Linked DNA regions of Lonchura striata. The protein of the gene in region 1 interacts with the protein of each later gene in a biochemical or structural test. Links are inferred from orthologs where the notes say so. Each region holds a gene or a part of one and is shown in the gene's direction. Other genes may lie near its edges.

Region 1 (3,744 bases):
GCTCTCCCCGGTGCCATACCCTCTGTACCCGGTGCCATACCCTCTGTACCCGGTGCCATACCCGCTGTCCCCGGTGCCATACCCGCTCTCCCCAGTGCCATACCCTCTGTACCCGGTGCCATACCCTCTGTCCCCGGTGCCATACCCGCTCTCCCCGGTGCCATACCCGCTGTACCCGGTGCCATACCCTCTGTCCCCGGTGCCATACCCGCTCTCCCCGGTGCCATACCCGCTGTACCCGGTGCCATACCCTCTGTCCCCGGTGCCATACCCGCTCTCCCCGGTGCCATACCCGCTGTCCCCGGTGCCATACCCTCTGTACCCGGTGCCATACCCTCTGTCCCCGGTGCCATACCCGCTCTCCCCGGTGCTATACCCGCTCTCCCCGGTGCCATACCCTCTGTCCCCGCTGCCATACCCTCTGTCCCCGGTGCCATACCCTCTGTACCCGGTGCTATACCCGCTCTCCCCGGTGCCATACCCGCTCTCCCCGGTGCCATACCCGCTCTCCCCGGTGCCATACCCGCTGTACCCGGTGCCATACCCGCTCTCCCCGGTGCCATACCCACTGTGCCCGGTGCCATACCCGCTCTCCCCGGTGCCATACCCTCTGTCCCCGGTGCCATACCCGCTGTCCCCGGTGCCATACCCGCTGTACCCGGTGCCATACCCGCTCTCCCCGGTGCCATACCCGCTCTCCCCGGTGCCATACCCTCTGTCCCCGGTGCCGTACCCTCTGTACCCGGTCCCATACCCGCTGTGCCCGGTGCCATACCCGCTGTCCCCGGTGCCATACCCGCTGTCCCCGGTGCCATACCCTCTGTACCCGGTGCCATACCCGCTGTCCCCGGTGCCATACCCTCTGTCCCCGGTGCCATACCCGCTCTCCCCAGTGCCATACCCGCTGTCCCCGGTGCCATACCCGCTCTCCCCGGTGCCATACCCGCTCTCCCCGGTGCCCTGCCCCGCCTCCCGCCGCCTCCCGCGCGCCGCGCACCACGTGACGCGCGGCGCCGCCCCGCCCGCGGCCGCGCGCCGCCGCCGTCCGGGTATTTGAACGGCGCTTCCGCCATTTTCCCTGCGCCCGCACGGAGCGAGCAGCGGAGAGTCTCGGCAGAGGTACGGGCCCGGCCCGGCCCCCCGGCCCGGCCCGGCTCCCGCCGCCATCGGGGCGCGCCCGGCCGCTCTGCAGAGCGGGGGCGGCGGTCGGGCTCGTTGGCGGCCGGGCCGGGCGGGCCGTGCCTGAGGGAGCGTCGCGGCCGCGGGGCCCGGGCGCGTGGCGGCTTTTCCCCGCGAGCGGGGCCGCCGGGCCGCGGCCGTGCGCGGGGAGGGGGCGGTGCGAGGGCCGCCGGCGGGGCCCCCGCGGCCCGCCCGGCCGGGGCAGGGGCGCTGCTCTGTCATGGTGGCTGACGGCGGGCAGGCCCGGCCGCGGCGGCAGCGCCGCAGGGCGGGCGGCGGCTCCCGAGCGGCGGCGGGCTGCCGGCTCGGGGGGATGCCGGCTCGGGGGCGATGCCGGCTCGGGGGCGATGCCGGCTCGGGGGGGATGCCGGCTCGGGGGGGGTGCCGGCTCGGGGGCGATGCCGGCTCGGGGGGATGCCGGCTCGGGGGGCTCGGCGCAGTCGGGAGCGGGGCCGGGGGGCCGGGAGCGGGTCGGGAGCGGGGCCGGGGGGCCCGGCGCGGGTCGGGAGCGGGGCCGGGGCCCGGCGGGCGGCGGCGCGCCGCCATTCCGCCGCACGCGGGCGGCGCCTTCCGGCGGGGCCGCTGCCGCGCCGCGCTCGCCCGCTCACGCTGCCATTGCTCACGCTGCCATTTCCCCCGCAGAGCAGCATGGCCGCCCAGGGAGAGCCGCAAGTGCAGTTTAAGGTAAGCCGCGCTGCCCCGCTTTCCTTCGGGGCTTTTTCTCCCTTCGCTAGAAAAGTGACACAAACCACTCTCGAGTGCCTACGTGGATGGTGGGTTTGGTTTTGAACTGCTGGTCTTCCCTTAATGGGGCGATTTATTGAAGTGTTGAATACAACTCGCACAAAAAGACTCTATTAAACTATTTTCTAAATTCTTTTTTGTGTCATTATTTTATCTGTAATTCAGTCTGATAGCTTTCAATGAATCTTTACCTACAGAATGATTTTTAAATTTAAGAACTGAAGCTGCCCAGAGTGAATTAGAGTAGCTTGCTTTCTGTCATGTGCTAATGGTGCAAGTGTTTCAGAAGGGAATTTTCTGGTGTTTTGAGTGGCTGGTGGGGTGGTGGTTATCTTTTTGTTACCTTAACAGCCAGAAGTCCTGAAGACTCTTTCTTGAAGGTTGTTACTTGTGTTTCTTTCAGTTCTTGACTAGTGTGTTTCAGTTTATGGTGCAAATGTTGGTGGGTTCTTTAATTTTAAGGTAGCAAAGGTTTTCTCCAGTGGATGTTTTGATAATTTCCTCTTGGAATCTGGTTACAGTCAGGTTGAAAGCCCTAAATATTCTGCAGTGCAGCCCTTGCCTACAAGGGCTGGATAAGACTGATCAGAGTTACAGCATGATGGGTGGACTTAACAGATTTGGTTCCCAGCACAGGGAGCTGCTTCATGGGGAGTTCTGTCTTTGTTTACAGCACCTTGTAGGAGCTGTGCTCTTTGTAGTAATGAGTAGTATCTGTGCTGGAATGACTGATAAGTGTCTCAAGATGCATTGCTCTGACTCTTCCTTTTTCTGTCCTCAGCTTGTTCTGGTTGGTGATGGTGGCACTGGTAAAACAACATTTGTAAAGCGTCACTTGACTGGTGAATTTGAAAAGAAGTATGTAGGTATGTCTGAAGAAACATTTGAGCTCCAGTATCTTACAAATGAAAATACAATCTGTGACTTGCTAAATGCACTGCTTTTTGTTATTTCCCTAGCAACACTGGGTGTTGAAGTTCATCCTCTGGTGTTCCATACTAACAGAGGCCCTATTAAATTTAACGTATGGGACACAGCTGGCCAGGAGAAGTTTGGTGGCCTGCGTGATGGCTACTATATCCAAGGTAAGATCTGGGGGGACAGTTCTGTACCTCTTACAGCTCAGTCCTTCCTTCTGCTCATGCTGGCTGCGCTGCAAGCTGTCAGTGTGGCTGCAGTGATGAGCTGGCGTAGAACTCAAGCTCTTACGTGGAGAGAATAATGTCCCTTGCCAGACAACGTGGGAACACAGTAAGGTTGTGTTTCAGCGTGTTTTGTGGGCTTTGGTATTGATGGAATGACCAATAGCACTGGCAGCACTCGGTGGTTAAGGGGTGACAACGTGTGCTTCAGTAAGTGCAGATTTCTGTCTGGATTGCTGTGCTCAGGCAAGGCCTTGGAACACAGAAACTTGAGATTTTCAATACCATGATGCAGTTGGACACCTTCATGCCAGAGTCTGTCTTTCTGAAAATGTGCAGTGTTCTTTCTGCTTGGCAAATACCTGTCCCCTGCTTCTTCACTCACCCTGCACATCTTTAGTGTATCTTACTTTCGTAAAGTATTCTTGAGGTCCTTGAGAAGCCCTTCTGGACACGGGTATCCTGAGATGTGGACCACAGGCTCTCAGCCTACCTTTAAGCCTTATTGGCATGTCTGAGATGAATTAAACCAGTTCTGAGATGAATTAAACTGATTCTGCCAGGCATTTGGGTACATCCACACTGGCTTCCATAGTCTGTATAGTCTCATGGTGCAATGCCACGTTGCTCAGGGATAGAGCTGAGCTAGCAAGAGGAGCTGCTCTGCTATGGGGCAGCA
Region 2 (3,744 bases), on another chromosome or scaffold:
TGATCTGATGGGAAACAGCTCTACAAAGAAGGACCTGGCGATGCGGGTGTACAATGAGCCACCAGCGCCCTTGCGGCCAGGAAGGCCAATGGTATCCTAGGGTGCATTAGGGAAGAGCAATCCCAGCACATCAGGAGAAGTTGTCCTGCCGCTCTGCTCAGCCCTGGTGAGGCCGTATCTGGAGTACCGTATCCAGTGCTGGGCTCCTCAACACAAGAGGAATACGGAGCTCCTGGAATGGGTCCAGCAGAGGGAGATGAGAGGACTGGAGCAACTCTCTTACAAGGAAAGGCTGAGGGAGCTGGGCCTGATTGGTCTCGAGAAGAGATGGCTGAGGGGGAACCTCATTAATGTCTATCAGTATCTGAAAGGAGGGTGCCACGATGTTGGAGCCAGGCCCAGCTCGGTCGTGCTGAGCAATGAACAGGAGACAACGGGCAGAGGCTGACACACAGGAAGTTCCACCCGAACATGAGGATGAACTTCTTTACTGTGCGAGTGACTGGGCACCGGAACAGACTGCCCAGAGAGGCTGTGGAGTACCCGTCACTGGAGATATTCAAGAACTGTCTCCATGCAATCCTGTGCCGTGTGCTCTAGGACGACCCTGTCTGATCAGAGAGCTCGGACCAGATACCACCGTGGTGCCCGCCACCCTGACCGGTTCTGTGACTCACTGATTCCCTGTGGCGGGACAGCAGCACGACGTCACCGAGTGTCCGGAGGCGACGCCCCGCGCTCTCCCGCGCTCTCCGTCCCCCCCTTCCCTGCCCTCCCCCCGGCCCGGCCCGGCCCGGCCCGGCCCCAGCTCCGCGTCCCGGCGCGACCCCTCCCAGCCCGCGCCGCCCGACTGCGGCTCCGGCCAATCCCGCCGCGGCTGCCGGAGCCGCCCGCCAATCGGAGCGCTCCGCCGCCCCTGCCTCCCGCCCCCGGCGCGGCGGCGCACCAATGACACGCGAGGAGACAAACCCCCGCTGGGGGTCGGTTGAGCCGCCGCTCCCCGCTGCCCGCCTCGCCCGAGCCGCCGGGACGTCAAAGGGAGGCAGGGCCAATCGGGGGCGAGGCTCCGTCCGCCGCGGCCAATGGGAACGCAGCTGGCGTTAGGCCCTGCCCCCCGTTCCCCCGCCGGCGGCGCGGCCGGCGCTCCCCCTTCCTCCCTCTCCTTCCCTCTCGCAGCAATGGCGGCGACGGAGCAGGAGCAGTTCTACGCCCTCCTCGGCAACCTGCTCAGCCCGGACAATGCGGTCCGCAAGCAGGCCGAGGTAACGAGGCCGCCGCGTTAGCGGCCGCCGAGACGGCCTGTCAGACCCGCCGGGCCTCGTTGGAGGGCGGGAGGGAGGGAGGGAGGGAGGGAGGGGGGCAGGGAAGCGGCGGGGCCGGCCGAGCCCCACGTGTGAGCAGCGGCACCAGCTGCCGGCGGGGCGGCCCGGGACTGGCCCCGATCGGGGCGGCGGGGCCGGGACGTGGCGGCCGTTTTTCCCGGCGGGCGAAGGGCCCGCGGCGGCCCTCGGCCCGTGAGGGCGAGAAGGGTCCCGTTACTCCCCTCGGCGCCCGCCCCGGCGTGTCCGGCGCCGCTCTCGCCCCTCGCCCGCCTCGAGGCCGCCCCCGCCGTGGCCGTGTGGGAGCGTCGCCAGGGGCGGCTGGTCCCCGTTTTCCGCGGCTGGCTCCGCCTGAGCCGCCCGGCGTGACGGAGCGCGGCCCCGGCCCCGCCGCGCAGGGCGGGCGGCGAGCCGGCGGCGGCGTGTGGGGCCGGCTCTCGGTGGCTCGGGAGCGGAGGCGTTCCCCGAAGGAGGTCAGAGTGGTGCCTGCCGCGATGGGAGCGGTCTGGTGTGCGCTCCTGAGGCGGCCCTCGCCGGGGCTCCGTGCCCCCGCCCCAGCTGGGCCGGCAGGAGCGGGACCGAGGTCCTTCTCTGTTGCCACGCAGGAGTTTGGTTTTTTAACTTTTCGGAACGGCCCCGTATGTGTTCAAGTGTTTCGTCAGCTAAGAAGTATTTCATCCAAAAGAAGTGTTTCTAATATGCTGAGTTTCTCTTGTTATCAGCAAAAAGTTTTCAGACGTGTTGTTTCAGCTGAAATTCTTTGTGGCGGCTAAGCCACGTTAATTCTTTCTCTCTGTCATGCTTAAGGCTCCATTGTCAAGCCTGGTGGGGAATCTCTCCCGTTGAATTAAATACCAGCGTCTAGGTTTAGCATGAATTCCCGCTGCATGGCTGCATCGGGTCTTTTATCACTCTCATCACTCCAGCGGTCAGCAGAGTTCAGTGCATTGTTTGGTGAAGAATAAAAAGCATTATTCCTGATGCTACAGTGAAAATGCCTCAAATATGAATCCCGAGTGAGAAGGGGGGGAGACATACATTTTTAGAAAGCTAGTGAAGTTCGGTATTGATAACTGCACTTTCTAGAGCGTCAGCAAGAATTATTCCCACATTCCTGAACATAGAGCTGCAATGGAAGCCATTCCCTGGAAGATGAATTTCTCTCTCTTCTCAACTGCCTACATATAACCTAAAAACATTTTGCTTATTTATCGGCACTGAATTTGTCACTAGTTTCTGAATATTTCCAAGGTGTGCTGCAAATTATTTTATGGTTTAGGATCATTCATAATGGAAGTGTCCTCAGGAGGTCTGCTATGCTCAAAGCAGTGTCAGCTCTCGGGTCAGATCAGGTCACTCGGGGCTTTGTCCTAGTGGCTCTTGAAAACCTCTGAGAGTGGAGACTGCACGAGCTCTTTGAGTTACTCACTCCTGCTTGACTTGTCCTCATTAGGACAGAAAGATCTGGACCTCTTGAAGTCTGAACCTCCTTTTTCTCAATTTACACCTGTTGTCTCTCATTTTTCCACCATGCATGGCTGTGAAGAACTCCAGTTAGTCTTTGTGGTGGGTTAATGAACTTTCACCTAGAAACATAAATCTGTCTACAGTGTAGCTAGACTGTCTTAAATTGTATGGTTTTAAGTAACATTTTTTTGGATAAAAGTGTTGCATAGGCTTTAAAATATTTGCTTCCTAAAATCATACAGGACTCATACTTGATTTTAAATATTGGCATAGTCCGGTCAATTTTTCAAAGTGTACTTATTGTTGGAAGGTAATATGGAATAGATAAAGTATTCAAATAACTGCAGGTAAATTGAATTGCAGGTTTTCATTTGTATCCAGTGAAAATCAGTCAGAATGAAAAATGGATAGACAGGAAACTGAGCAGACTCAGGTTATTCTAGATAGGTTTGGTCATTGAAATGAGAATGAAGAGTGTTCAGCTGAAGACTGAACTTGAGATGTAGAGTCATATCCTGTTTGGGAGGATTGTAGTAAACGATGTTAAAAAAAAAAAAAAACCATGAGGAAGAAAGCCTGATGACACCAAACTCAGTTGATGTGAATGGATTTATATGTGTATTGTCTGTTCTTGTGAGACCCCACCGCAGTACTCTGTCTGCCTCTGTGGCCCCTTACACATGAAGGACGTGGACGTGTTGGAGTGGGTCCAGAGGAGGGTCACAAAGATGGTCAGAGAGTCTGGACAGCTCTCCTGTGAAAGACAGGCTGAGACAGTAGGGATTGTTCAGCCTAGAGAAGACTGGAGGCACCTTAGAGCAGTCTTCAAGTACCTAAAGAGGACCTGCAAGAAAGGTTGAGAGGGGCTTTTACAAGGACATACAATAGTAGGACAAGGGGCAACAGCTTTAAACTTGAGGGGGCAGGTTTAGATTAGATATACAGAATAAATTCTTTG
Region 3 (3,744 bases), on another chromosome or scaffold:
TACAGTGAGGGTGGAACCTCAGCTCTTCCAAGATTTGCCTTCCAAACATATCCAGAAAAGGGCTTCTGGCCAGGGAAGGGGAATCCTGTCTGAATGTAGCATTTCACTGGAGCAAACACATCTCTCATGCCATCAGGCTGGAACTGACACTATACCTCACGTGGCTCAGCAATATGACTCTGCCAGGAGACCGTGTCCAGGGGAAGGACCCCTTCCTTCCCAAGCTGTACAGACTTGTCTTGGGGAGAGCAATTCCTCATTTCCTCCTCCTTTCTGTGAGGAAGGGAGATTAAAAACAAAGGCAGCTCTAAGGTTGGGAAGCTGAGGAGAGCATGTGCTCAGAAGCATGTATGTGTATATTAGCTGTGTACAGAGAACCCTGGCAGACGGCTGACATGGCACTCGGTGGTTTTTGTGAGGTTTTCTTTTCTGTCAAGTCGTTAATGCCCTGAATCACTACTGACCAACGGTTTGTTGTCCTGGAAGGGAATTGTATAGATATTAACATATGCTGCATCTTTTTGTTAAAAAAAAAGAAAAAAACCCAACATATGTGTAAATGCTCTGCACTCTCACACTTGCTCTGATCTTAATAACAGATCCAGAGATATTTAGGCTTGTTTAACAAATTACAGAACCAGGAACAATGACTGTTGCCTTTTTAAAACTTTTTAATTAGGAGAAACTGTGAGAGTAGTCAGTCCTTTTTATTGTGGCTTTCTCTCAAATGTTTTTTACTCTCCCAAATCAGGGTTGAAGGTTGCCTTTTTCTCATTTTTACAGCTAAACCTACTGGAAATTTGATCGTTTCACTGTGTGGATCAAAAGGAGGGGAAGAATAGGTTTAAAAAGTGACCTTAAAAAGATGGTATTTCTCTTCTGAGAGAAAAATTCTTCCTCAATGCGGGTTGAAAAAAAAAAAAATCCGGTAGGGCCACTGCTGTATTATGCACAAAACTAAACTATCGGTGAGATGTCACTTGTGCGGGAGGGCGGGAGGGAGAGAAGAACTCTGTCTTGCTCACAGACCAGCGTGGCAACACGCCGGCTATGGCCCAGCAGCCGCTGGGGGCTCTTCCCTCACAGCATCCCCTGTACAGCCGCCATTACATTGTATATCAGTCTCCGCAACAACAGATTTTAATTATTAAATAAAAGTATTTTAGAATTCTTTTTCTTAAACCCTGCTTGTGCAGCCGTGTCTTTTCAGCTGATCTCAGCAGGAGCCTGACCGGGGCTCCTGAGGGGGAGGGGGGCAGGTCCGCCATGGCGGCGCCTCCCCTCAGGCTTTTCGCGCCCTTCCGACTGCGCGTGCGCCAACCGCCCTGCCGGCCGCTGCGCAGGCGCGGCTGGCCCGGCCCTCCGCGGCGCGGCGGCCCCGGCGCCTCTGCCCATACACGGTGTGTCCCCGCCGCTCGCGCCTGACGCGCCTGCGCGGGTTTCGGCCCCGCCCCCGCGCGCTATAAAAAACGCCGCGCGGCGAGGCTCGGCCTTTTTCACCGTGGGGAGCGGCGGAGCTGACAGGTGAGGTGCCATTTAGTTTTACCCTTTTTGCCGTTTTTACCCTTTAAATCCCTTTTCTTGCTGTGGTGTGAGGTCCTGCGCTGTCAGCGGATGCCCGCTCCATCCTGGTTTTAACGCTAAACTACGCCGTGAGTTACACGTGGCTGCGGGTGCTGCGGCGCTACCTCAGCCGCCCCTCACAGCCATTTTCTTTTCCCACAGGTTCCAAAGTCTCTTCAAGCTTGGTTTGTGCGGCCCGCTGCAGCGTGAGTATCCATGCTTGCCGTGGCCTGGGACGCGCGGGGGCCTGGGGGGATCAGGATGGTTATAAAAGTTAAAAGTAAAGGTCCAACGTGGATATCCGGAGAAGTCGCTCTCTCTCGGCTCTGTCCGTGTGGCGCACGGGAGCGCAGGCCCTCGGGCCCGTGACGTACAGTCCCTTTCCACGACGTTGGAGAGCAAGCCGGGCCCCGAGCCTGCAGCCTGCATATTCCTACTTCTTCTCTGAGCCCTTGGGCCGTTACAGAGGAGACAAACCATGCAGGAAACACTTCTTAAAAATCGGTTAGAAACTGTTGATAATACACTGACACGCGGGGTGGGACGGTGAACACATGCGGAGCTGGGAGGGAGAAACAGAAAAACACAAGCACCTGAGAAATTCTTAAAGTACCTTTTTTTTCATTATTTCCAGTGCCAATATCGGAAAAGTTGGAGTAAAACACGATTTTTGAAGGTAATTGCGTTTAAAATGTAATATTGTGTGTAGTTGCAAAGATGTTTCTAAAAAAATGGGACAGTAATAAAATCCCAATCCGGTAGTAATGTCAGTTCAGATCGCAGGCTTCTAGCTTCGATGATGGTGTTCGATTTTGGATGGATGGGGAAAAGAAACTCCTGAGTCTCGAAGGGGGAAAAAAAAAAAAAGCCATCATGAATCTTGGCAAACAGGAAAAAAAATGGCTAGAGATAAACTTGTGTACTAAACTTAAAACACAATTGCTGTATTGTGGGACACGAGGAACAGGCAGGAAAAAAACGCTCTATTTTTCCTAGAATATTGCAGAAACTGCTGGGGTGAAGTAACAAGGAAAAATCCGTGGAAGAGGGGTGAGTATATTAAAGAGTGCCCAAATTAGGTAGTTGCCCGAGTACTGTTAGTGCACTACGTGTGACTAAAACGTAGCCACAGAAATCAAAACGTGGTGGAACCAAGGATGTATAAATCCAGTGGTTTTATAAAACACGTCCTTGGAGCGCAGTTCCTGGATTTTGTGGATCAGGGCCTGGAGGTGCACGCGGTATGGGTAAGCTGCACGGGAAGGAGGGACAATTCCCGGCGTGAGGGGTTGGCTGGTCCAGCAAAGAGCTGCTTTTGGGATGCTTAAAACTGGGGAAGGGGAGTGGGGGGGATCGTAAGGGTTAAGGAGATACCGCGTGTGCTCTCCTGCGGCTGCACTTGCCAACCTTGCTGATTCCGACGTATATAGGATGTGAGTGGAAGCAGTTTGTGTGTTCAGGCCCTGAAATACAGCTCTCTCTCTATTTGTAAATCTGTACCTGTATACAGTAGACAAAACAATAAACTGAATTTAGCTTTGGCTTGCTGTGTGTTTTTGGTGAATGATCTGAATATTAATGAAAACTTAATGCTCGGCGTGGTGCCTCTTGCGTGGAAATACAATTCTTGTTTGGTGCTGACCAATCTCAAAGTAAATGATGCAGAAATGCTCTGTGGCACTCTTGGGGCTGGACTGGGAAGCAGATTCGTAATTTAAATCCGGATTTGGATTATCTCAGGGAAGAAAACGCTTCATATTAAGGGCTGAGTCAAGAAGGGGTTGATGGCGTCTGTTACCCCGGGGTGTAGCTTGTGGGGGGAAGCCGGGCAGGGCATTACAGGGTTTCCCCTTCCCTTGGAAAGGGGAGTGGGGTGGGTTTGGGGGAAGTGCTGGTGTGGGGTGGGTGGAATGGGCATCAGCAGTTGGCCAGACGTCCTGTCCTTGGCTGCGCAGTCCCCCGGGAAAGGATCAGGGGGTGGCTGTGTATCTGTTCATCAAAGCTCCACATGGGCCTGGAATAAATAAATCGATGGTGATGCCTCGAAGCTTTTCCGGTCATGGGTTGTGGGTGACCCCTGGAATCACTGTCGATAAGCAGATGAGGCTGCTGTACCAGCCAAGATGTTAATTAGAAACATCATTTTATTAGTAAAAGCTGTTACGGCCAAATGCAGGCCTC

Evidence for each region.
Region 2: the proteins of RAN (region 1) and IPO5 form a complex in vitro, tested with the Homo sapiens proteins (2 studies listed by BioGRID). The link is inferred for Lonchura striata from reciprocal best matches to the Homo sapiens genes RAN and IPO5.
Region 3: the proteins of RAN (region 1) and RCC1 form a complex in vitro, tested with the Homo sapiens proteins (6 studies listed by BioGRID and IntAct, with this or other methods). The link is inferred for Lonchura striata from reciprocal best matches to the Homo sapiens genes RAN and RCC1.

What each region holds. Positions count from the first base shown.
Region 1 is NC_134620.1:14,959,318-14,963,061, forward strand, and holds the start of RAN (GTP-binding nuclear protein Ran), read left to right. Parts: upstream 1-997; 5' UTR 998-1,119; intron 1,120-1,821; 5' UTR 1,822-1,827; coding exon 1,828-1,863; intron 1,864-2,704; coding exon 2,705-2,789; intron 2,790-2,882; coding exon 2,883-3,008; intron 3,009-3,744. UniProt on the Homo sapiens protein: GTPase involved in nucleocytoplasmic transport, participating both to the import and the export from the nucleus of proteins and RNAs. Switches between a cytoplasmic GDP- and a nuclear GTP-bound state by nucleotide exchange and GTP hydrolysis.
Region 2 is NC_134604.1:77,589,068-77,592,811, forward strand, and holds the start of IPO5 (importin-5), read left to right. Parts: upstream 1-1,103; 5' UTR 1,104-1,178; coding exon 1,179-1,262; intron 1,263-3,744. UniProt on the Homo sapiens protein: Functions in nuclear protein import as nuclear transport receptor. Serves as receptor for nuclear localization signals (NLS) in cargo substrates.
Region 3 is NC_134628.1:105,341-109,084, reverse strand, and holds the start of RCC1 (regulator of chromosome condensation), read left to right. Parts: upstream 1-1,435; 5' UTR 1,436-1,524; intron 1,525-1,725; 5' UTR 1,726-1,769; intron 1,770-1,851; exon of another isoform or gene 1,852-2,056; intron 2,057-2,197; 5' UTR 2,198-2,239; intron 2,240-3,744. UniProt on the Homo sapiens protein: Guanine-nucleotide releasing factor that promotes the exchange of Ran-bound GDP by GTP, and thereby plays an important role in RAN-mediated functions in nuclear import and mitosis.